6 linked regions of the Ovis aries genome follow. The protein of the gene in region 1 interacts with the protein of each later gene in a pairwise test. Links are inferred from orthologs where the notes say so. Each region holds a gene or a part of one and is shown in the gene's direction. Other genes may lie near its edges. The genes, in order: MAPK9, EFHC2, WDR62, ARRB1, SHMT1 and LNX2.

What was found.
Region 2: the proteins of MAPK9 (region 1) and EFHC2 interact in binary tests that used the Homo sapiens proteins (3 or more experiments, as listed by UniProt). The two-hybrid records come from large-scale screens. The link is inferred for Ovis aries from reciprocal best matches to the Homo sapiens genes MAPK9 and EFHC2.
Region 3: the proteins of MAPK9 (region 1) and WDR62 interact in binary tests that used the Homo sapiens proteins (3 or more experiments, as listed by UniProt). The two-hybrid records come from large-scale screens. The link is inferred for Ovis aries from reciprocal best matches to the Homo sapiens genes MAPK9 and WDR62.
Region 4: the proteins of MAPK9 (region 1) and ARRB1 interact in binary tests that used the Homo sapiens proteins (3 or more experiments, as listed by UniProt). The link is inferred for Ovis aries from reciprocal best matches to the Homo sapiens genes MAPK9 and ARRB1.
Region 5: the proteins of MAPK9 (region 1) and SHMT1 interact in binary tests that used the Homo sapiens proteins (3 or more experiments, as listed by UniProt). The two-hybrid records come from large-scale screens. The link is inferred for Ovis aries from reciprocal best matches to the Homo sapiens genes MAPK9 and SHMT1.
Region 6: the proteins of MAPK9 (region 1) and LNX2 interact in binary tests that used the Homo sapiens proteins (3 or more experiments, as listed by UniProt). The link is inferred for Ovis aries from reciprocal best matches to the Homo sapiens genes MAPK9 and LNX2.

What each region holds. Positions count from the first base shown.
Region 1 is NC_056058.1:713,789-717,756, forward strand, and holds the start of MAPK9 (mitogen-activated protein kinase 9), read left to right. Parts: upstream 1-1,168; 5' UTR 1,169-1,412; intron 1,413-3,968. UniProt on the Homo sapiens protein: Serine/threonine-protein kinase involved in various processes such as cell proliferation, differentiation, migration, transformation and programmed cell death.
Region 2 is NC_056080.1:43,527,397-43,531,545, reverse strand, and holds the start of EFHC2 (EF-hand domain-containing family member C2), read left to right. Parts: upstream 1-1,349; 5' UTR 1,350-1,457; coding exon 1,458-1,499; intron 1,500-4,149. UniProt on the Homo sapiens protein: Microtubule inner protein (MIP) part of the dynein-decorated doublet microtubules (DMTs) in cilia axoneme, which is required for motile cilia beating.
Region 3 is NC_056067.1:46,067,124-46,069,734, forward strand, and holds part of WDR62 (WD repeat-containing protein 62), read left to right. Parts: intron 1-331; coding exon 332-459; intron 460-756; coding exon 757-860; intron 861-1,216; coding exon 1,217-1,324; intron 1,325-1,595; coding exon 1,596-1,730; intron 1,731-2,114; coding exon 2,115-2,229; intron 2,230-2,325; coding exon 2,326-2,452; intron 2,453-2,534; coding exon 2,535-2,586; intron 2,587-2,611. UniProt on the Homo sapiens protein: Required for cerebral cortical development. Plays a role in neuronal proliferation and migration.
Region 4 is NC_056068.1:53,257,881-53,261,828, reverse strand, and holds the start of ARRB1 (beta-arrestin-1), read left to right. Parts: upstream 1-1,148; 5' UTR 1,149-3,948. UniProt on the Homo sapiens protein: Functions in regulating agonist-mediated G-protein coupled receptor (GPCR) signaling by mediating both receptor desensitization and resensitization processes.
Region 5 is NC_056064.1:34,088,876-34,093,045, forward strand, and holds the start of SHMT1 (serine hydroxymethyltransferase, cytosolic), read left to right. Parts: upstream 1-1,370; 5' UTR 1,371-1,390; coding exon 1,391-1,486; intron 1,487-2,374; coding exon 2,375-2,520; intron 2,521-4,011; coding exon 4,012-4,127; intron 4,128-4,170. UniProt on the Homo sapiens protein: Interconversion of serine and glycine.
Region 6 is NC_056063.1:32,686,254-32,689,753, forward strand, and holds part of LNX2 (ligand of Numb protein X 2), read left to right. Parts: intron 1-984; coding exon 985-1,143; intron 1,144-2,841; coding exon 2,842-2,977; 3' UTR 2,978-3,500.

The sequences.
Region 1 (3,968 bases):
CTGGTCTGACAACTCTCCCATCATTTCACACCTTCAGACCTGCTGGAACCAGATCCAGAGGCTAGCTGGGGGAGACACCTCTGAAGAAGGTCACTGCCAACAAATCACAGGTCCTAGGGGCCCTCAGCATTGCACTCCCTTCCCTCCATGTATGACTCTGCCATTCTCTTCTGAGAAGACCCAGGAATGAATGCTCCTTTGTAAAACCACAGCTCTGACAGCCAGACCTCCTGAGTTTCCCATAATCCTTGATGGTGGCAATTTTTGTTCAAGTGGCTTGAACTCTGCTCCAGGCTCACCAGCCAGTCTTCTCCCCTCTGTCACTGACCTGCCAGGGCCAGAGGCCTGCACATGGCCATCTCCTCCCATGTCCCTCCTCGGCTTCTGGCTGCTGCTGCTGCTGCTGCTAAGTCGCTTCAGTCGTGTCCGACTCTGTGCGACCCCACAGACGGCAGCCCACCAGGCTCCCCCGTCCCTGGGATTCTCCAGACAAGAACACTGGAGTGGGTTGCCATTTCCTTCTCCAATGCATGAAAGTGAAAAGTGAAAGTGAAGTCGCTCAGTCGAGTCCGACTCTTCGCGACCCCATGGACTGCAGCTTTCCAGGCTCCTCCGTCCATGGGATTTTCCAGGCAAGAGTGATGGAGTGGGTTGCCATTGCTTCTGGCAGCAACCCTGAAACTGCTTCACAGTGAGCAAAGGAATCCAAGGTCCATTCCCCTCGTCTCCACGTCCTCGCCGCCTCCGCCTCCCAGTCCTGGACGCCAAGGCCGCGGCTTCCCCTCGCCCTGGCCCTCCCCTCATGGACCTTCTCCGCCTTCCTCCAGGCCGACTCGCCGCTGTCAGTCTGCACCTGCAAGCCCAGAGGCCCGGCTTTCGGTCCCGTCAGTACCCCTTTCCATCGCCTCCCAGCGCGGTGCTCGGCTGCCGCGCCGCGGGCACCGGTAAAGCGCAGTCGGCGCGCCGAGCCCGGCCTGCGTCATAAGGAAGCGGAGCGATCAGCTGCGCGGCCGCCAAGCGCCGCTCCCCGAAGACCTGGTCAACCAGCGCCGGGCTCGGCCCGCCTCCCCTCCGGAGCCGCCCGGCAGTAGCCCCAGCCCCGCGCGCGCGCGATTGGCCGCGCCCGCCCAGCTCTCCGCGCGCTGATTGGCCGGCGCGCGGGTCGGTCAGACCGGGCGCCGCGGCGGCGGCTGCAGCGGAGGAGAAGCAATCCAGACCGGAAGGGTCCTAGGCGCCCCGGCGCCCCTCACAGCCTTTGCGGCGGCGGCGACGGCGGCGGCGGGGCGGAGCGGAGCAGAGCGGGGCGGGGCGGCCAGGCGAGCCCGGGGCAGCGGAGCCGCGAGCAGCTAGCGCGCTGCGCCGCCAGTCCGCCCGCCTGCCCTCTCCCTCTGGCGCGGCGGCGGGGAGGCGAGGTGAGCCCGGCCGGCGGGTTAGGCCCAGCGGGGACTCTGGGACCGAGCCTCGCCGGGGAGGGGCGGCGGGAAGGCCGCGAGGCCAGGCTCCGCGGGGACAGGGGGGTGCGGAGCGGGAGGACCGGGTTCTGTGGGGTCTGCGGGGTGCTGGCGACCCCGGCCGCAGCCCCTCTTCCTCCAGGCTGCCGCAGTCACCCCCTTACGCCCGGCTGTCCGCGCCCCAGAGCTGCGGGCTCGCTCCCTGCTCTGGCCCCGGCAGACCTGCTGTAGGGTCTGTGGGCGCCCCCTCCCCCGCCCCGATTGTTTGGCACCCAGCTGCATACCTCCTCCCGGATGCTCAGAGCCTGGGATCTGATTCCTGCGACCTTGGCGAAGGCACTGATCCTTGCTGTTCCTCTGTTTTCCCCTCGGCAAAGTGGGGGAAATGTCTACCCTTTTGGACAGGATTGTTGTCAAGCTCTATGAATGTGTGTGAAAGCCCCTGGGCGGGAGCCCGCCCGGTGCACACTTGTGGAAAATGAGCGGGATACTGCTCCTTGCTGGCTTGAGTGTAGCAGAGTCCGCCCAGAGTCCCCCATCCTCATGCTCCCCAAGTGCCTTGTCATTGCATACTCAGTGCCCAGCAGTGCCTGAGCGGGCCCTGACCAGCTCACCCCCAACAAGTCCCCCAACCCGGAGCAGTGGTCTCCTAACCTACCCATCTTACTGGCCTTGAACATTCAGCCCTGTTTACCTCAGGACCTTTGCACTTGTATCCAGTGATTGGAGTTGCCTCCCGGATCTTTGCACAGCTGACTCCTTCTGGTCCTTCTCACATGTTCCAATTTACAGAATCCTTTCCTTGACCTCTCTTTCTCCTCCTTTAGTCTTTCTGTCTCATTACATTAATTTTCTTCCCAGTATCTGGTTTGAAACTATTCTGTTGATTCGCCTGTTTATTTTCTGTCTCTCCCATTAGGATTATAGCTTTCTGAAAACAGGTAGTTGTCTGATTTGTCCACTGCTTTATCCCCAGTGCTTAGAAAGCACACAGTAAGTATTCAGTAATATCAGTTAAGTGAGTAAGTGAGTGAATGAATGACCCTGCCAGCCTGTTGCCTCTGCTTTCTCTGTTTAGTGACTTCTGACTAACTTGTGAAACTTACATGCAGATGATAGGTTGCTTTAGTTTTGTGGAACATTTTAATGTCCTTGACCCTTTTATTTGGTAACTATCAGAACAAGCTGTAATATAAAATCTGACATTTTTATAATGTTTTCGCTCTAACTTCCTTCCTCGCATTCAGGACATATTGACTGAATTCTACATTATCCAGGTCAGCTTTCTGCTCGGCCCTGGGGACACAAAGGCAGTAGCAACAGGGTCCCTTCCTCCAGAGAGCCCAAGAGCCCAGTAGAGAAAGGAGACATGCAGACAGTGCTCGGACAGCTTGCTGTATAGCAGGGCTGTGCTGTGGAAACTTGGAGGAGGCGGTGGTGCTTGGCTGGTGCTGGAGTTGGCTTGAATGGTGATGAGAAACTTGTCAGGTCTAGGGGAAGACAAGACGTGGGGAAGGGCAGGGTGAAGGAAGAACTTCAGCCCAATCAGTTGAGTTCACTCGCTCAATCATGTCGCTGTTTGGGACCCCATGGACTGCAGCACACCAGGCTTCCTTGTCCATCACCAACTCCCAGGGCTTGCTTGAACTCATGTTCATCAAGTCGGTGATGCCATCCAACCATCTCGTCCTCTGTCATCCCCTTCTCCAATATTCAGCCCAATGTTGGGGTCAAAAACCAGCCTGTGGGGCCAGGTGTGAGAGATTAGAGTAGTGGAGACCCTGGAGAACCAGACACCACTTACCCAGCAATTTTTAGAAAGAAGCCAGAACTTGAGATTTGTATCTGCACTCTCTTCATGTTCAATTGTTGGCAGTAGCTTATTTTAAAATGTTTTCAGTGCTGTGAGCCAAGCAAAATGCAGACCTCATTCAGTTTTATTTCAGGATTGTCGGACTCCGGACTTCAAGGCAGGTTGTTTAGGAGGGAAGAGTTGCAGTGAGCTAGAAGGGTAGCCCACGACTAGGGCAGCTCGGCCCTGTTTGTCCAGGAACTCTCTTTTGGCACTGGAGCCCTGCGATAGCAGCTAGGAAGCCTGCTAGCCTCCACTTTCTACACAGGAGGAAGCAGAGGCTCCCAGGGTTTCGGCAGTCTGTTTTGTAGCAAGCAGCTGGAAAGTGAAATTTGAACCCAGGTCTCCCGCAGATCAGCATTCTTTCCTGAGTCCCTTAGCTCTGAGTATTCTCTTTGGCTCTTAGTTTGTTCTGGAAGAATAAAATCCAATCTAGATATCGTTTCCCTTCATTTATCCCTTTTTTTCCCCTTCAAGAGGATCCTACAGGGTTAAAAACAATCCTATTTTGGCATAGTCTGTCGCTGAAGAGCGTTCTTTTCCTGAGTTTCTTGAGGAGAATCCACTCCTGAGAACTTAACTTTTCAGGATGCCACTTTAAATAATTTGTTGACAGATTAAAATGTGTTTATTTGGCCTTCCTAAATAAATGTTAGAAGGTACAC
Region 2 (4,149 bases), on another chromosome or scaffold:
GTAATGTATATTTTTAAGGAATAAGAAAAGAGAGAGTTCCTGCCCTGGGAGAATTGGTGGGCATTTGAAGAGGGTCAAGTAAGGGTGATTACATTGCAGTACCACAAAAGCCACCATTAGAACGGGCAGCTAATATCGGGCGAGTGGAGAAGGTGGAGGAACGCTTCCCGGAAATGTCAAAGCCTTCCACACCTCTCTCCCGCCCTGAACCAAGCCCTGAAAGACAAGAAGGGGTTACCCAGGTGAGAGATGGCAAGGAAGGGTGTTTCCAGCAGCTAGTGAAATTTGCAAAATCCCAAAGGGCAGAAACTGTAGAGTTTGGTTTAGAAACTGTCAGTGATTCCTCGGAGCTGGAGTAGAGGAACGGGGCAAAGAAAGGGATGGAGGGCGTTCGTGGGCACCTACTGACATAGGCTCTGACCAGGCTAAGGAATTGGCCTGCCTCGTGACAGCTAGAAGAATAGTGAAGCTGAAGAGTAACAGGTGCACCATGAATTATATAAGAGGATGGCGCTGGAGGCAAGATTAGGTGTTTTGTTTGTTTCTGTTTTAAAAGAAAACCAGACAAGAAATAATAGGGTCTCGACTGAGACAGAGGATGTGGTGGCTGAAAGTTACCCGGAGTGTCCAACCAGTAGAGTAGGACTCGGGGAGGGAGTAGCTGTAGGTGTGGGGAGCGGAGCCGCTGGCTTGGGTATCTTGGGAGCCTGGTGGAGTGACAGAGGCCACTTTTTGTGCCACCTGACTCCGCCCCTGGCCACCATGACTGCACCAGGAACGAGCATCTTACAAAATGTTGCGTTCAAACGGAAGTACAGAGGAAGAACTGAGGATGGTGGTTACCGCTGAATGGATTTTCTCGGTGGTCGTGGTGGGAGGGGGGTGGGAGACACTTGGGGTTTGTGTGGCTTGGGATTCATCTGGAACGTTTTAATTACAAAGTAAAAGCTGATGTAAATGTAACGTGTACTGGTGTTACATTTCTGTGAGCACACGGGTGTCATTTTATTTTCTGCACTCTTCTGTATGAACTCAATTTAATAACCAAATGGCGAGAAACAGAAACGTGCAAGAAACAGAGGAGCTTCAGTGCAGGAAGGGCTTTGAGCCCTATCAAAGGGTTAAAACAGCAAGCGGCGGGGGCGGGGAATGGTGCGGTAGACAGCCTTTGTGTGTGCACAAGGCGTGTGGAGAGAAAAGCCTCGGGGGAGACCGGTCCCCGGCTGAGTGGGTCGGGTGGGCGGGGGGAGGCGCCCGCGCGGAGCTTCCGCCTAGCCCCGCCCCGGCCCCGCCCCGAGCCCCCGGCCCGCGGAAGCCCCTCCTCCTTCCGTGACACCGCCTCCGTCTCTAGGTAACGTGGAGTGGGGGGAGGCAGGGGCTCAAACAAAGCGGCCGAAAGGTGGCCGCTGCCTGCTGGCCTCTTTTCTCGGACCCTTGACCCTCGGACGCTCGAAACCATGGCCCTGCCTCTGCTGCCCGGCAACAGCTTCAACCATAATGTGAGTAGAGAGGGCACCCGAGGTCAGAAGTCCCAGCCAAGTTTGGGGTCCAGGTGTGACCACTACCCCGGCCTCCTAACGCTGCTTCGCCTTCTGTGGATTGGGCGCAGCTTGGGTCTAACTTTGTGGGCTCTTGGACTACCTCCCCTTCCCCCTCTGTCCAGCTGCATCTAGATGCTTTCCCTACATTAGATACAGACGTAGAGTCCTTATAGATGCTAAGACCCTCGAAGGTAGGATTGATGATAGTCACCGATGAGCGTTGAAGGTGTGCTAGGGGCTGTGCTTTAATCACCTTACACGGCATTAGATGCTCCCAACAGCCCTTTTATCAGCTATTTTTAATTCCTATTTTACAGTTGAGGAAACTGAGGCACAGAGCGATGAGTCAGTCACTCACTGGCCAGAGCTACACAGTCTCAGTGGTGAAGCTGGGTTTCCTCCAGGCAACCGGCCTCCACAGCCCAGGAACCTAATCACTCTCCTTAATACCCTTTGTGAAAGAGTTTGTTATTAAAGTGAAGAAACCTGGCACTCTCAAGGCTGGTAGGGGGTGGATAAGGGTTCCACTGGCCTATAAAGTTTGATCCTAAACATTATAGAGAGCAGGATCCAAACTTGTAGTTCTTTCTTCGTTTAGGATTGGGAATGGTTCATTTCAAAACAAGATGAAAGTACCAAACAACACAACATTAAAAACCCTGAGCACGCAATAACTTTTGCCAGCAAATACCATCTTCTTTAATCCAGAACAGAAAAATGATTCAGGTTTTTGTTTGCACTGGTCCCTACTCGTTACTTGGGTTTTCCAGATGTATCTGTAAGAAGGGAAATTGATGGAACCACTCAAGGTATTTGTGTAAACCTCTGGTAAGTTTAGAAAACAGGCTGCAGATTGAAGCATTTGACTTTATGGATGCTGAACAGTGTCTGTATCCAAGTTGTTGGCCCTACGGTACCAGTTTTCTTGTAGCTTCAGGCCAGTGCATTCTGACCCCTGCAGGTTGGCTGGTCAGTTCAGCTTGTTTCTTGACCACTGGTTTGTGCTTTCTTGGCTGATGGATAGAGGCTGGCCTTCCATCCTAATGTTGCCCTTTGGTAAGATTATTGTTGTTTAGTTGTGTCCAATTCTTTGTGACTCCATGGACTGTAGCCCGCCAGACTCCTCTGTCCTTAGGATTTCCCAGGGAAGAATACTGGAGTGGGTTGCCATTTCCTACTTCAGGGGATCTTTCTGACCCAGGGGTCCCACCCACGTCTCTTGTGTCTCCTGCATTGGCAGGTGGATTCTTTACCACTGAGCCACCTGGGAAGCCTGTGGTAAGATTAAGCTAGTCACAAATTAAGTAAAACTCCTGAAAGACAGGGCATGAAAAAGGATTCCAGAAATAAAGAAGCATGCTGTGTAAAAGTAATTCTAATCAAAATTGAATGTAGAGCCCACAGCTTTGGACATAGCAACACTTCAGATCCTCAGCTCTCACATACAGTGATTAAGAGTGGGAAGAACAGTGGTTGGATGAGATATTTTAAAATCTGCAAGGCTGTACTGAGTGTACTTTTGCTTTTTTAAAGTTTTTTTTTATTGTGAAGTATAACACATGTACAGAAAAATGCACTATGAATGCTTATAGAATGGATATCAAGAAGGAAAATATTACCAGGACTCCCAAAACATCAACCTTGACTAGGGTTGCCAGATTTAGCAAGTAAAAATACATGTCCCAAATAGTGCATGGGATCTACTTATATTAAAAGATTCTCTGTTGTTTACCTGAAATTCATATTTAACTGAGCAGCTTGTATTTTACATGGCAACCCTGCCTATGACCCTTTCTGGTCATTACACCTTTTCTATTCTCCGAAGACAACTATTCTCCTGGCTGCTATCACTGTAGTTCATTTTGGCTTGCTTTTGAAATTTGTGTCAGTGGAAATGTCTGGTTTTTATTCTTTTGTGGCTGGCTTTTTTTTTTTTTTTTAAGCTCAGCATTATGTTTGTGAGATTTGTTCATGTGTCTGTCTATAGAGATAGTTTGTATGTTTTCACTGCTCTAGAATATTCTACTGTATGGGTGTTGAAAGTGAAAGTGTTAGTCCCTCAGTCGTGTCCAACTCTTTGCAACCCCAAGGACTGTAACCGGCCAGGCTCTTCTGTCTATGGGATTTCCCAGGCAAGAATACTGGAGTGGGTAGCTATTCCCTTCTCCAGGGGATCTTCCTAACCCAGGAATTGAACCCAGGTCTCCTGCATTGCTGCAAGATTCTTAACCATCTGAGTCACCAGGGAAGCCCTGTATATATACAGGAAGATACTGTATGGGTATGGCATCATTTATATACACAGTTTACTCTTGACAGAGATTAGGTTTGTTTGGGGTTGTTAAAAATAGTTTGCTGTGACTGTTGTTCATGTCTCTGAGTACAATTGCCAGATCAAATGGTATTCTTTTTTTAAAAATCAAGTTCTTTTTTTAAATATAATTTTAAAATTTCTCACACGGCATTCTTGGGTTCACCTTTGATAGATGCTGTCATGGTGCTTCAGTTCAGTTCAGTCACTCAGTCGTGTCCAGCACTTTGTGACCCCCTGGACTGCAGCACGCCAGGCTTCCCTGTCCATTGCCAACTCCTGGAGCCTACTGAAACT
Region 3 (2,611 bases), on another chromosome or scaffold:
GTAGTCAGTACCCTCAGTGAAGTAACCAGCATGCTGAACTCTGTCCCCATGGATTGGTTTGCCTGTTCTTGAACTTCATATGAATAGACTCTTACGGGGGGGAGCCATACCTATTCCTTATCTGTAAAGGGGCAGATGAAATGGAGGAGCAGCAGAAAGCAAGCTCAGTACAAGCTCAGTACGGCCCCGTCCAGGTCTTGCCTCACAGGGAGCATCCGACAGTGAGGCCTGCCATCCTTCCCGTCGCCACCGGTGTGGGTGGCAAGCCTTGCAGCTGACATGGGCCCGGGGATCATGGCTGCCTCTGAGGCTGCGCTGTCTTCACCCACAGTCCGAGAGTCCCCAGGAGGATGGCTGCGGGCACCCTTCCTTGTCACCCCCACAGCGAGAGTCTTCTGAGGCCAGCGAGCTCATCACCTGCCCCCCAGAGACAGAGGTGACAGTCACAGGAAGGGACAGGTGAGTTCCTTAGTTGGAGAGAGGAAGCCTTGACTAGTAGGCACACCCTGGAAGAACTGCGCTCCGCTCTCCCAGTGGGCCTGAGGGAGGGAGGCAGAGGGCTGAGGCTGCAACCTGTTTCCCTGGTTCCAAGAGGAGGTGCATGGAGGCCGCCTTTGGTGCTGGCAAGAGAGGCGAAGCTGTGCTCCCAGCAGGAGCAGGTGCAGATGTCCAGGGCTTCTGGGTAGGGGCCAGGTGTTTACTAACCAGTGTGTCATTTTTCCCTCTCCCTATCCATCCCTCACCCCCGGCATGCAGTGAGTACTGTGCGGAGGAGGTAGTGGAGGCGTGCGGAGACCAGCAAGGGAACCCCTTCCTCCCAGTCCCCTCAATCGGCTCGAAGGACCGGAATCCCCCTGAGGGTGAGTGAGTACCAGCAGGACACCTTGCAGTCATCTCTTCATCTGGCCAGACCCCTTTCTGGGCACTGATGGCGACTGTGACCCAGTCTTCCTGAAGCTCAGAGTCTGTCATAGAGACAGACATCATCCCTGCTGTCTTCACCCTAGACTTCTGGAGCCCAGCTGCCCACCAGTGGGAGCCCAGCTCTGCATCTCCCTTGAAGTGTAGCCTTGCTGGTCCGTAAAATAGGGCATGGGTCCTATAGTCCCCCTTCTTCAGATGAAGGAACTGAAGCCCAGAAACTTGTAGCCTCCTTACCTGACTCACCCAGTCAGGGCCCAGCCTTGGGCCCCTGACCCTAGCCACTCTCTTCCAGACTCGGGGGAGTCAGAGGCTGACTTGGAGTGCAGCTTCACCACCATCCATTCCTCTCCTCCACAGCCAGACCCAGAACCTCAGTTTGACACAATGCCCCCCATACCAGGTAAGCAGCGGCCACATGCAGAAAAGGGCGGTGCGTGGGCCTGGCCGAGTGATGGCTGTAATATATAACCACTGGCCATACCTCAGTCCTGCACCCCCAATTCCCTCCCCTAGAAGACAGCCATTAGCCCCGCCTTCTCCACCTGGTGGCCGTAGGGTGTGTGATGGGCGAGTCCAGCTTCCTCCATCGTTAAACGGCTGGTGGCTCTCTCAGGGCGTCTTCCATGACTCATGGTGTTGACGTTTCTCCCCTGCCCACGCCCTCTGACCAGGATGCCCAGGGACTGCAGGAGAATTGCCCAGGCCCGAGGTGCCAGGCATATCCAACAGCTCCCTGCCCCAGACCCCTGAGCAAGAGAAGTTCCTCCGCCACCACTTCGAGACGCTTACTGATGCCCACCCTGAGGGTAAGCCCTGCCCCTCTCTGACACCTGCCTGGGCGCACCTAGGACTGGGCTCAGTGTGGACGTCCCCAGGGTGCGGCTTTCCCTGGCAGGGCTGGTGAGAGTGGTGGGAGGGCGTGCATTTTACTTTTTAGTTAGGGACTGAGCAGCACGGTATCCTCTGCCAGCTCGATTCGCTCCCAAGGTGCGTGTTGTCTGCTTTTTATTTTTGACTGCATCGGGCCTCAGTTGCATCATGTGGGATCTTTTCCTGGACCGGCAGGGAAGCCCCATGTTATCCGTTGTTGAGGGTCTCTGAGGATCTGTCTGCTGGTCTGTGGGGTCTGCCTGGGCCCAGGGCTGGCTGGCTGGAGGGTTTCTGAGGGCTCCCTTGGCATCTTGCCCTAGAGCTCTTCCTCGGATCCCTGAGAGACCTGAAAGCCTCTGAGACCGAGGATGACTTCTTCAACCCCCGACTGAGCATCTCAGCCCAGTTCCTCTCCCGCCTTCAGAAGACATCCAGGTGGGAGCGGGTGAATTCGTGAACTCTCCCGGCAGGGCGGGGCTGTGTGCCCCTGAGCACCCTGAGGGCAGCCACTGCCACCTGTTTACCTAACAGGTTTCCCCACACCTTCCCTTCCCGACTTCCCCGGCACCTCGTGAAGTCCTCAGAGGTCAGACTCACGGACCTCCAGGGCGAGCCCCCAAGAGTGGGTGCTGGCTCCACCTCCCCAGTCAGGACCAACGTGAGTACTGGGGCCACCTCCCTCGAGACATGGGGCTTGGGAGCCGGGAGGCCTTGTCCTCACTGCAGGGCTATGTTTGTAGGTTATTCCTGGAGGAAAGGCTGAGGAGACGCTGGAGGTGTGGACCCCACTGTGTGAGTGTCCCCATCTCCCGGTGGA
Region 4 (3,948 bases), on another chromosome or scaffold:
GAGGTGGTGGTGGTGAGGTGCCTAGCTGAGTTTGTGCCTGAGAAAAGCTGCCTGTGTGGGCTGAGCTGACCTTTCCTGCTCAGAAAGGAAGGTAGGCCGGCAGGGTGCATTGCTTCCCCCTGCAGATTTGGGGAAAGGTGGCTGAGTGGTGGTTGCATCCTGTCCCTTCCAACTTCCAACCTCAGTGCCCCTTTCAGGGAGTGGGGGAAGGAGGAGCTCAGGCGGGAGCTATGAGGAAAGAACATGGGTTTTGGTGTCAGGCCAGGCTTCAGATCCCACCCTTACTGCTTGTTATGTCTGTGACCTTGAGACAATTATGTATAATTTTTATGAACCTCAGTTTTCTCATCTTCAAAATAGGGTTGATAAGGGAATTTCCTCACAGTCCGCTGGTTCGGGCTTGGCACTTTCATTACCAGGGGCCGGGTTTGATCCCTGGTCGGGGAACTAAGATCCTGCAAGAGGCAAGCCATAATGCTTCCCCCACCCTCTGCCCAAATGGAGGTGATAATATCCTCCCCCAACACCCCGGGGTTGCTGTAAGGCCTAAATGAGATAATGTAGGCTAAGCACAGTGCCTGGCACACAGTAGGTACTCAATAAATGCAGATTGTCCCTCTCTTCTGCCCCGTGAACCTCATCATCCTATCTTGCACTCCATCCTTTACCCTTTTGAGAGTGCCCTCAGTTGGGCTGCGAACTCCCCGGGGGCATCTGTTGTGTTTAGTTCATCCACCTTTATGCTCCAGCCCTGGCACAGCACCTTCAATGCACTTTGAATTGGTTGGCAAGAAGCTGCACTGGCCGCAAGAAAAGAGGGCTAAGTTTTAGCTGGAAACTCAGTGCACATCCACTGTGTGCTCCTGCCGAGGCCTACTGTGTGGAATCTGCTCTGCAGAGCTTGAGTGGCTGCTTGTAACTTGCTGGACTCCTCTGCTCTGGAGGCTTTGTCTTCTTTTCTCCCAAGCACTTAGCACTCATGTAATCAAACCAGTCTTTGGTCAGCCTTTAAGATCCATCTCTTCCCACTGGAATACAAGGGGCCACGGGAGCTGTGTCCCCAGGTCCTAGTGCCTGGCACAGGGGACACACATACATTTTTGTTGGCTGTCCTTTTCTTTCCCTTCTCTGAGCTCAGGCTTGGTATCCCTCCCAGCCCAACCCCTTTCCAGCTGGGGCAAGTCTTCCTGCTTCTTTCAGCTTCAATTTCCTCATCTCTAACGTGAGCATAATGGTGGTCCCAGATAATCAAGTGATCAGCTGGGCCTGGAGCAAGGGAAGGACTCCATCACATCAGTTCCTGTTTTTAAAATGATCTCCAAGGGTCCTCCCATTTCTGACCTTCAGTGACCTCACTGCCTCTGGCTGGGAGGAGACTGGGGAGAACATTCCATTCCTCACAGACCCTCTGCACTGGTCTCACAATGGATTTGGAGCTCTGTGCAAACTGTTTATGTTTCCCCAGTAGAGTTTATTACCCAACTGGGCCTTCTGCAATTAATTACTAGCCAAGCAAATAACTTGTCCCTGGGAGGCTGGGCTTGGCATAAACATTTACATCCAGCCAGGGGCCGGCCCAGGGGCTAGGCTCCTTCTTCCAGCCTCAAGAGCAGAGAATGGTTAGAGGATTAGGGTTGGGAGGGCTGGGATGGGGTGAGGGGTGGGGCTAAAGAGAAACAGCTTTCCTTCAGCAGCTTTTCCTGGGCCCCTACCTTAGCCTTTGAGGTGCTGGGCATCTGCCTTCTCTTTTAATCTTCCTCAGGACCCCACAAGTAGAGTCCCTGTTTGCAGATGAAGAAATATGGAAGAAATTGAGGCTCATGGAAATTAAGGAATTTGACCAAGGACACACAGCGTGCAGGAGGGGCAGGATCTGAGGGTTCCCATAGCAGCTGTGTAGAGCAATAGACTAGAGACGAGAGGACAACAGTGGGAAAGCACTGAGGGAATGAATATTCATTTGATCGATTGGTCATTCATTCATCGTGTTTGTGTCGGCCCCTGTTGCGCGTGAAGGGGCCGTGAAGAGGCGGTGGTGACTCTTAGTGACTGGGCTGAGACTGTTGGTCCCCAGTGAATGCTGGAAACTCCCTCAGGATGTCCCATTAACAGACCAGCTTTGGCTGAAGGAGGTTTCTTGGAGGGCTAGGAAGGGGGCGGCCTCTCTGAGTCTCTAGTGGTCATAACCACCTCATCTTATGCCAAGAGATGGCTCCAATGGAAGTAGCCTCTAAGGTCAGCCTCCTTATCCCAACCTGGAATGTGGAATCCCAGAACCTTGGCCCCCTGCCTTTGGGCTGAGAAACCTCAGAAAAGGTTTATCTCCAGGAATAGCAGGGTCCCTTGTTTATGTCTGAGAGGGAAATGGCTGATTGGCAAGGGAAGCCCTCCTTGCTCTCCTGATCCCCCGGCCCTGCCCCATGGAGGGACTGTGAGTTCTGTGTTTTCTAAAGGCCCCTCTTCCAGCCCAGCAGTTCCTGCTCCCCTCCACAGCCCCACCATGCAGCTCTCTGGAGCCTTCTGCCGGGGGCCATCTTCTGTCTTTGCAGAGAGGAGAGCTGAGACCAGGGAGGAAAGGGTACCTGTTTTGGATATAGCGTGCCTGGATCCTGGAACCCCTTGGCTTCAGGTCACGGTGGAGACTAGGGCCCAGGCTGAGCCATCCATTGCATGTTGCCTAATCCTGGCCCAGAGCCTGATGTGTGGTAACCAATGCCCAGGAAACGTGTGACCTGGGGGAGAAGTGACCAGCTGATGGGACACGTAGGAAGGACACTGTGATCTGGGAGGCAGGGGGCTTCAGCCCATGGCACTCTCTCTCCCGGGAATGGACCTTCTGGGAACTGAGGCGAAACAATAGTCCTCACCCTCAGGGCTGTGGTGAGGCTCAAAAGGCAGCGAGTGACTATTCACAGCGGACAAAAAGTGGAAACCAGTGGCCCTAATGATCATCAGTGTATGCGTGGGTAAACAAATTGAGGTCTGTCTATACCACGGAGCATCATTCAGTCGAAAAAAGGAATGAAGTACTGATGCATGCTGCAACATGAACCTTGGAAACATTGTGCTATGTGAAAGAAGCCAGACACAAAGGTCACATATTGTGTGATTTCATTTATATGAAATGTCCAGAATAGATACGTCCATAGACCCAGAAAGCCGACATTGGTGGTTGCTGGGGCCTGGGAGGAGGGGCGGCTGGGAGAAGAAACCACTCGAGAGTGACGGATTTTAGTGTGGAGTGGTGGAAGTGTTTTGGATCTGGAGTAGAGGTGGTAGTTCTGCACAGCGTTGTGACTGCAGTAAATACTGCTAATTGTTGACTTCAAGCTGGTAAATTTTGTTATGTGAATTTCACCTCAATAAATTATTGTTTTAATTGCTAATAATAAAAGCAGCATTGTGAGGAGGAGGCCCTGGAGATGAGATATGGGTGTTCAGGGGTGAGGCTGCCGGAGAAAGGATGGGTGGGGGGGTGCTGTGACGGGAAAGGTGTCCAGTGGGCGGCACTTTGGGAGCCTGATTAGGACCCAAGGTTCCAGAATAAGAATGGTTGGGGGCAAAGATGTGTCCTTGGGCGGGTTATTCAACCCCTCTTTGTTTCAGTCTCCCCTCTGGAAAACGGGAATCATTAAGTTTTTATTATGGCAATCTAAATCTTTTATGATCAGTCCTGAATATTCACTGGAAGGACTGATGCTGAAGCTGAAGCTCCAATACTTTGGCCACTTGATGAGAAGAACTGACTCCTTGGAAAAGACCCTGATGCTGGGAAAGATTGAAGGCAGGAGGAGAAGGGGACGACAGAGGATGAGATAGTTGGATGGCATCACTGACTTGATGGACATGAGTTTGAGCAAGCTCTGAGTTGGTGATGGACAGGGAATCCTGGTGTGCTGCAGTCCATGGGGTCGCAAAGAGTCGGACATGACTGAGCCACTGAACTGA
Region 5 (4,170 bases), on another chromosome or scaffold:
TCACCAGTTCATTAAAGGATATGACAAAGGACACAGATAAGCAGCCAGAGGAAGAGAGAGATGTTCAGGGCGATGGCTGGGAGGGTCACCGTGGAGTTGGGGTGCACCACCCGGAAGCTCCCTGAACCCTGTGAGGGGGTCATTAACTCCAGCCCCTTTCCCTCTCTGGTAGAGTTGAGGGGGCTGGAAATGCTTCTCATCATGGCCTGGTCTTTCTGGGACCAGCCCCAACTTGGTAGCCTCCCACCCTGAGTTGCATCATTGGAACAAGAGATGCTCCTGTCACTGGGAAGTCGCAGGGACCTGTGTGTGTGTATAACTATTTATATTCTCATGGTGCTCTCAGGAGACTGCAGGTGGGCCCCTTCTCAGCCTGGTGTCCTCTGGTCGCCCCCAGCACTTGTCCTTGTGGGCCCGCTTATCTGTCTGCATTCAGTGTGCTCACTGCTTCCTGCTCACCTTCCCCCAGGAAGCCCCATGAAGGTTCGGTCTGTTTGGGTCTCACTGTGTTCCCAGTCCCGACCTGTGGCTGCTGCTGAGGGGAAGGGCCTCAATAAGTAACTGTTAAGGGAATGAATTTGAAACAAAAGCTTATCTAATTAGTAGAAAGTACTGAAAGTTGCCAACCATCGATTAAAGGAGGTCAGTTCCTGTAAACATTTATGCTGTCCCTTTAGCTGAAATACCACTGAGCTCAGACTCTTGTTCTTTGTGGGGATGTATGTGAAGACACAAGCCTGCTGTATTGTGATGATGCCGAGTCCAGGTGTGTACCTCTGCCTGTGGACCTGACCAGAGGCCCAGGGTCAACCCAGAGCGTGTCCTGCAGCCCCAGCCGCGGAACACCAGGTGGAGCCTCTGCGGGGTTTGAGACTCTCCTCCAAGGCCAGTGGGCTGTGCGGCCCTCCACTAAGATACTTTTCTGAGTCTCCTTTTCATTACTTGAGAAATAGAAAAAGTAGTACATAAGTCAGCAATTCACTTGTTCATTTGGTAAATATTACTCTCATATGGCTGCGCTGGGTACTGTGGGAAATTTTTTACAAAGTAACCATCAGCCCTTGCCTTCAGGAAGCTGGCTTAGTTGGGGAGCTAAGCCACAACCAGGAGAAGTTCAGGTAGGAAGAGGGGGTGCTGGGCTCCCCGAGGCTGGAGCAGCCTCGAGGCAAGGAGGGCAGGTCTCCTGAGGAGCCAGTGACCTGCAGGGATCCACAGGTGGTCCCATGTGGTGGATCTGCAGCAGAGTTCTCATGTTCTCCAGGCGCTTCTGGGACAAGGCCCACACGTGTGTCAGTACTTCAGCAACTTGGGAACTGACAGGTGACGATGAGCTGTGACTGAGTTTAATATTTGAAGCTTTTCCATTTTTAGGTGCCTCTGAACCAGCACAATGGCAGCTCCAGTCAACAAGGCACCCAGAGATGCCGATTTGTGGTCCTTGCATGAGAAGATGCTGGCACAGCCCCTGAAGGACAACGATGTCGAGGTGAGGCTGTGGGTGTTCTTGCAAGTTTTGCTGTTGGAGGTCCTTGTTCAGGCCTCTGATTCTCACCAGAAATGAGCTGTGTTTGGGACAGCCTTGTGGTTTGGATACAGGACTGGTTTATAGGCAGTGGCTGCAAAGTGGCTGCAAGTCCTTTGAGGGTGCATTTAAATCTGAGTTTCTGTGAAGAGCAGTGTGCTGGCTGCTGCTGAGGAAAGGGGAAGGGGTGGGGTCACTGAGACTTGACCCTCTTCTTACAGTTCAGGGGAGCATTTCTAGAAGCATCTTTTATTTATGTATTTTTACAATAGCTTTACATGTGAGATAAGTGAATGCACTTAACATACAAGTTGCCCATTTAGAGTACACAATTCAGTGGTTTTTAGTGTATTCATGATTGCTTTTAGAACATTTTAATCCCCCCAAAAGAGACCTCAAACCCATCAGCAATTGCCCCCCTCCATCCCCCAGATTCCCAACCCTCAGCAACCACTGGTCTGTTTTCTGTCTCTGTGGATTCATCTAGGTATCTGTTATTTTAAGGAAAGGAATAAAGAACAAAGTTCAGGAGGGAAACTTGGTGAAATCTAGGGATGAAAATAACAAGATGGCACAGAATTTTAAAATTCCGTGGGATGCGTGTTTTAAGGATCATCTTTTCTTCCATCGTTTTGTTCTCCTTAATTCACTTTCTATTAATTCCTTCCTAAAAGCTTTGAGGAGTATTTCCTTTGTTCCTCAGGTGCTGTGGGGGTCATCTTATTCTGGTTACACTTGGCTTCTGAGGGCAAAATATGAAAGGATAAGTGTCTCTTCTCTTTGCTCAGTTATTGCTCAGATCAGAGCAGATGTTAAACTGCAGTGTCCCCATTCCTGTTTTCTTCTTGTCAGGTTTACAACATCATTAAGAAGGAGAGTAACCGGCAGAGGGTTGGACTGGAGCTGATCGCCTCCGAGAACTTTGCCAGCCGGGCTGTTCTGGAGGCCCTAGGCTCTTGCCTGAACAACAAGTACTCTGAGGGGTACCCAGGCCAGAGGTATGTGAGTGTCATCCAGGCCAGCCTCCCAGGAAGGGAGTGGACATTTCAGAAAACAGCCAGGTTCTCAATGGCAGGGCCTCCTGTCTCCTCCTCTCTTAACGATTCCTAGCGGGTGGTGGCACCACTGTTCTGGGGGCAAGATACTTGGGGTCACTTGCACAGTCCCCCTGGGCCTTTCTAGAATAACAACCAGGCCCGAAGGAGCAGCTGCTGGCTGCAGCTGAGCCTCCAGAGGAAGGTTGTGTGAGTAGGGACCCCAAGATGAGACTGACCCACCACACTGGAAACTGGGTCAGTGTTTTAAAACTGGGTTTACCTACAAGAGATTTCAGTCAGCTTCTCCTCTTGAGAAACAGGAGAAGTCATATTCATTTGTGTTTCTTACAGTTGTCATCAGGCAGAGATGGTGATGACAGAATTTAACACGTGGTTTTTGCAAAATTGCACACTTGTGTCCCAGAGGACACGGAAAAGGGAGGGTCACCTGCCGTTCTACACTGATTAGAGGGTCATAATTTTTGGACCCCCACACCCATCCCCCTGGAAGGGGGTTGTAGGATCACATGCCCTCCTGAACCTTGTCCTGTTCACAAATTGAGTCCTTCACAATAAACCAGGGATCATGAGTGAGGCGCTTTCCTGAGTCTTCAGTTTTTCAAGTGAATTACTGGAACTGAGGGGGTCATTTGTAGCCAACTGGGGCAGCAATGCTGGTAGCCCAGTGACCAGGGACTTGCCTTTGGCATCTGAAGTGAGGGGCAGTCTTGTGGGTCTGAGCCCTCAGCATGTCGGTCTGCACTGACTCTGGGTGGTCAGTATGGGAACCAGGTGGAATTGTGAGACACCCAGCTTGTGTTCAAACCCCAGGCTGCCTGGGGTCCCAGTGTTTCCAGTTGACCTTGGAGGAGATACTTTGGTGCCTCTGCCCAGAGATGTGGTGCTGCAGTCTTGCTGCTTCTTGCTGGGACTGAGGGCATGGTGACCATGGCACACCACCCCTGCCCCCAGCTCTGTTCCCACAACAACGGCAGGAGAGAGGGGCACCCATTTTCTGGCAGGTCAAGTCGACTTGAAGAGCATGGCTTCTATCCCAGGCCAAAACTAGTCACAAATAATAAAAAAACATAAGTGCATACATTGTGATATGCAATTATTAAACAAAAGATAAAATTTTATTAGAAATGCAAAGTAAATCCCCCCAAACCAGTAACTCCCTCTCCCAGCCCCTGGAAACCACTGTCCTGCTCCACATGCTATGAATTGATCCCTGGGCAGCTGGCACAGGCCATCACATGGCTGTGACAGTGTCCTCAGGGTTCATCTGAGTTGTGGGGTCAGACCTCCCCACGGATGGCGAGACACGGCCACCTGGGCCTGGTTCAGGGTGCGTGTTCTCACCCTTGCTCCTTCGTCCCACTAGGAGCCTGGCCTCTGTCCTGCATGCAGAAGTGGCGCCAGTGGGCCTATACCTCCCGCCTTCCTCCACAGGTACTATGGTGGGACGGAATTCATCGATGAGCTAGAGGTCCTCTGTCAGAAGCGAGCGCTGCAGGTCTATGGCCTGGACCCCGAGTGCTGGGGGGTTAACGTCCAGCCTTACTCAGGTAATGGCCAGGTCCAGACAGGCCTGGGTGGTCCCCTTCCTGC
Region 6 (3,500 bases), on another chromosome or scaffold:
ACTCTATACAAAACAGATAATCAATAAAGATCTACTGTATAGCACAGGGAACTGTACTCAATATTCTATAATAACCTATATGGGAAAACACCCTGAAACAGAATGGATACATATAACTGAATCTCTTAGCTGTATACCTAAAACAACGTTATAAATCAGCTGTGGTGGTGTTTGGTCACTAAGTTGTGTCTGTCTCTTTGCGATCCCATGGACTGTATGTAGCCTGCCAGGCTCCTCTGCCTGTGGGATTCTTCAGGCAGGAATACTGGAGTGGATTGCCATTTCCTCCTCCAGGGGATCTTCCCAGCCCAGCAATCGAACTCACGTCTCCTGGACTGGCAGGCAGATTCTTTACTGCTGAGCCACCAGGGAAACTAAATCAACTATACTCCAATATAAAAGAAGAAACACAGGATACTAAAACCTAGTTTAGTATAGGTCAAAGGAATACCTGTCACTAAACAGCCACTGTTCTGTAGACTCCCAGAGATCTCTATTGTATACAAACCAGTATTCAATGACCGTGGGTCAGAGGGCTGTCATTTGGGGCAACAGCTCTGCTTTCCCTGGTGGGGTGGGAGCGGGGGCTCTTCCACTGTGTGTGCTGGCATGTACACACACCTGCTTGTTTGCGTTGTTTTATCTTCTGCAGAAGATTCAGAATAACGAAAATAACCTGTACTGTCCTAAAACATTAGGCCAATGCATGGGACTCCTCTCTACTGGAAGCTTTTTTACACATTAATGACCAGAGATGTAGTAACACCACAAGCGTTCCTTTGTGCAAAGTAACTTCTGTCAGTGTTCTGTTAAGTGCTTCTCATTGAGCTAAGAAACCAGAGCACATGAGCAGCTCTGTTCTGGCATGTTGTATGTTGCTCCCCATCCATAATGGAGGCACGGACCATGGTGTGGAGTTACAACAAAGATGAACAGGCTATAAAAAACCCTCACACTAATTTTTCTTGGTCTCTGTGTTGACAGTGCCCTTCATAGCTGCCATGACATAGTCTTGCGAAGAAGCTACTTGGGAAGCTGGGGCTTTAGTATCGTCGGTGGATACGAAGAGAACCATACCAATCAGCCTTTTTTCATAAAAACTATCGTCCTGGGGACCCCTGCTTATTACGACGGAAGATTAAAGTGAGTCTTATTGTGTTTAATGATGTGATTTGCATTTACTGTGATGGACACAAGGTCAGCTCCCAAGTCCAGCCTGTTGTCCATCCTTGTAAATAAAGTTTTATTGGAACATACCCATGCTCCCTTGTTTACCTATCTCCCCGGGCTGCTTCTGAGATGTGATGGCAGAGCCAAGTGGCCAGTCCCGAGACCAGTGACTCACAGAGCCCAGGCCCTCTGTCTACCTACCATTTGGCCCTTTACAGAGACAGATCTGCCAGGCCTGATCCAGACTGAAGCATCTTGGTACCACAGGTCAGTGCCTCTTGTGAGATTAACAGTAACGCAGAGTCATGTGGACACATCATGACCCAAAGCTTGCCCTGAGCACCTGAGTCCAGTCCTGTCAGTAGGTGACTTTTCTCTACAGCACTTATGTCAACGTAATGCTCAATTCACGCAAGTCCACATGGGAGGGATTTTGTTGCATTTTGTGTTAGATCCCTGGCAGGCAGCGTGGGGCCTTGCATTCGTAGTAAAGGTTTCATCAGTATTGATGGATGATGTGCGTGCCAGGCGTGGTGCTAGGTGCTGGCTATGGGTTACTGCACCTTCTTAGCAGCCTGCGAGGTAGGTGCTGCTGGTGTTCCTATTTTATAAGCAAGACACTGAGGATTCAGGTTAAAAAACTGCCTATAGTCAAATAGCTGGAAGTCGTTGACAGCAGTTAATCTAGGAGTCTTGGCCATTCAGCCCCTGCTGTTGTCACCACTGGGCAAAAAGTACCCTCTCAGCCTCTGTGCCACCTTTCTCAGAGCTCAGGCACCATGAGAAGAAAGAGGCATTCCATCAAGAGATTATACAGACAGAGGAGACGGGTGACTGTAAGTTCTTAGGACCTAGTTTTGGATGCAAGAAACAGTTCTTAAAAAGTAGATGCTGACATCCTAGTCAGAGTGCTGCACAAATCAGGGCATTTACATTTTGCAAACACAGAGCAACAGCTCGGGAATATCGAGGAAAATCCATCAGGGTCAGTGTGCTCCAGATCCCACTGTCACCTGGTAGAGATGAAAAAATCACTTCAGGAGCAAAGAGTGGGAGGCTGGGATGAAATAACCATTCTCTTAGCCAACTGTTCAGCCAGTCTGGGTCTCGTGTAAATTATAGACTAATTAACTTCCACTTCCTAAAAGAAGTTGAACTAGATCACAAGAAAGTAACATATTCATATTCAAAATAAAGACTAAAAATTATAAAAGATAGAAAGGTCTTCAGATTCACCATCCATTTGTGATAATTAAGCTGAAGGACAGTGAGCATCCTTGGCTGAAAGAGGTGTGGGTCTCATTTAGTTGAAGCCTCGAATGGACTGTAAAAAATCAACCATGAAAATAGCAGCCCCCTCCAAATTTATCATGTGGTATTTTTAAAGGAGGCAGCAGATTTATTCTGTTAACTATACATTGCTTAAGCTTCTCTGAAAATTACTCTGCTTTCCTTTGAAATCATCCACCAGTTACAGGAGAGGCTGGCACGGGGGTGTCCCCGGTTGACAAGGGAAAGCCAACATAGGCTTAAAAAATCACCCAGATATTTCTCAAAGAAAGTCACATAGCCTGATCATCAACAGTTAATGGGTAAGTGTACCAAACAAATCTCAGGACAACATTTCTGATACCGTGAAAACGGTGACTGTTTCTGTCTCTCGTTGTCCAGATGTGGAGACATGATCGTGGCTGTGAACGGCCTGTCGACCGTGGGCATGAGCCACTCGGCGCTGGTCCCCATGCTGAAGGAGCAGAGAAACAAAGTCACGCTGACCGTCATCTGTTGGCCTGGCAGCCTCGTGTAGATTTTGAATTTGATGTTAAGTCGAACAGCTTCCCTATTTTTTTAGGTCTTGGGAAGAAACCCCTTTGGTTTTGTCAAGTTTCTGTTAGGGCCTGCTGACGCAGCTGGGACACACAGGGCCAAACCCACCAGGCTTGTCCTTTTGTTATTAATATTTAAATGCCTCCTCCCCCTCAGTTTGTCACATTTCTCTCAGCTCAGAACGCGTCTTCCCCTAACCCTCGTGGGGTCACATTTTCAGAATCCAGGTTCTCAGTTGTCAGAATGTGAGCTGTAATAAAGAATGAAGTCTGCCCAAACTGTGAGCCAGCAGGCTGCATCAGGCGGCTTACAGTAGCTCTGTTTTAAGTAACTGAGTCATAAAATGAGTTCCATGTGCCCGAGACGGGCCAAGTGGGCTGTCACTTGGGTGGCCAGTGCCGTGAGTGGCCGCCTGCTCAGTGTGGAGAAGCTGCTCCCCATTTTCATCTGTGCCAACATTTCAAACAATACTGTTTAAAAGGTCATTTTTCTGGCTTATTTTG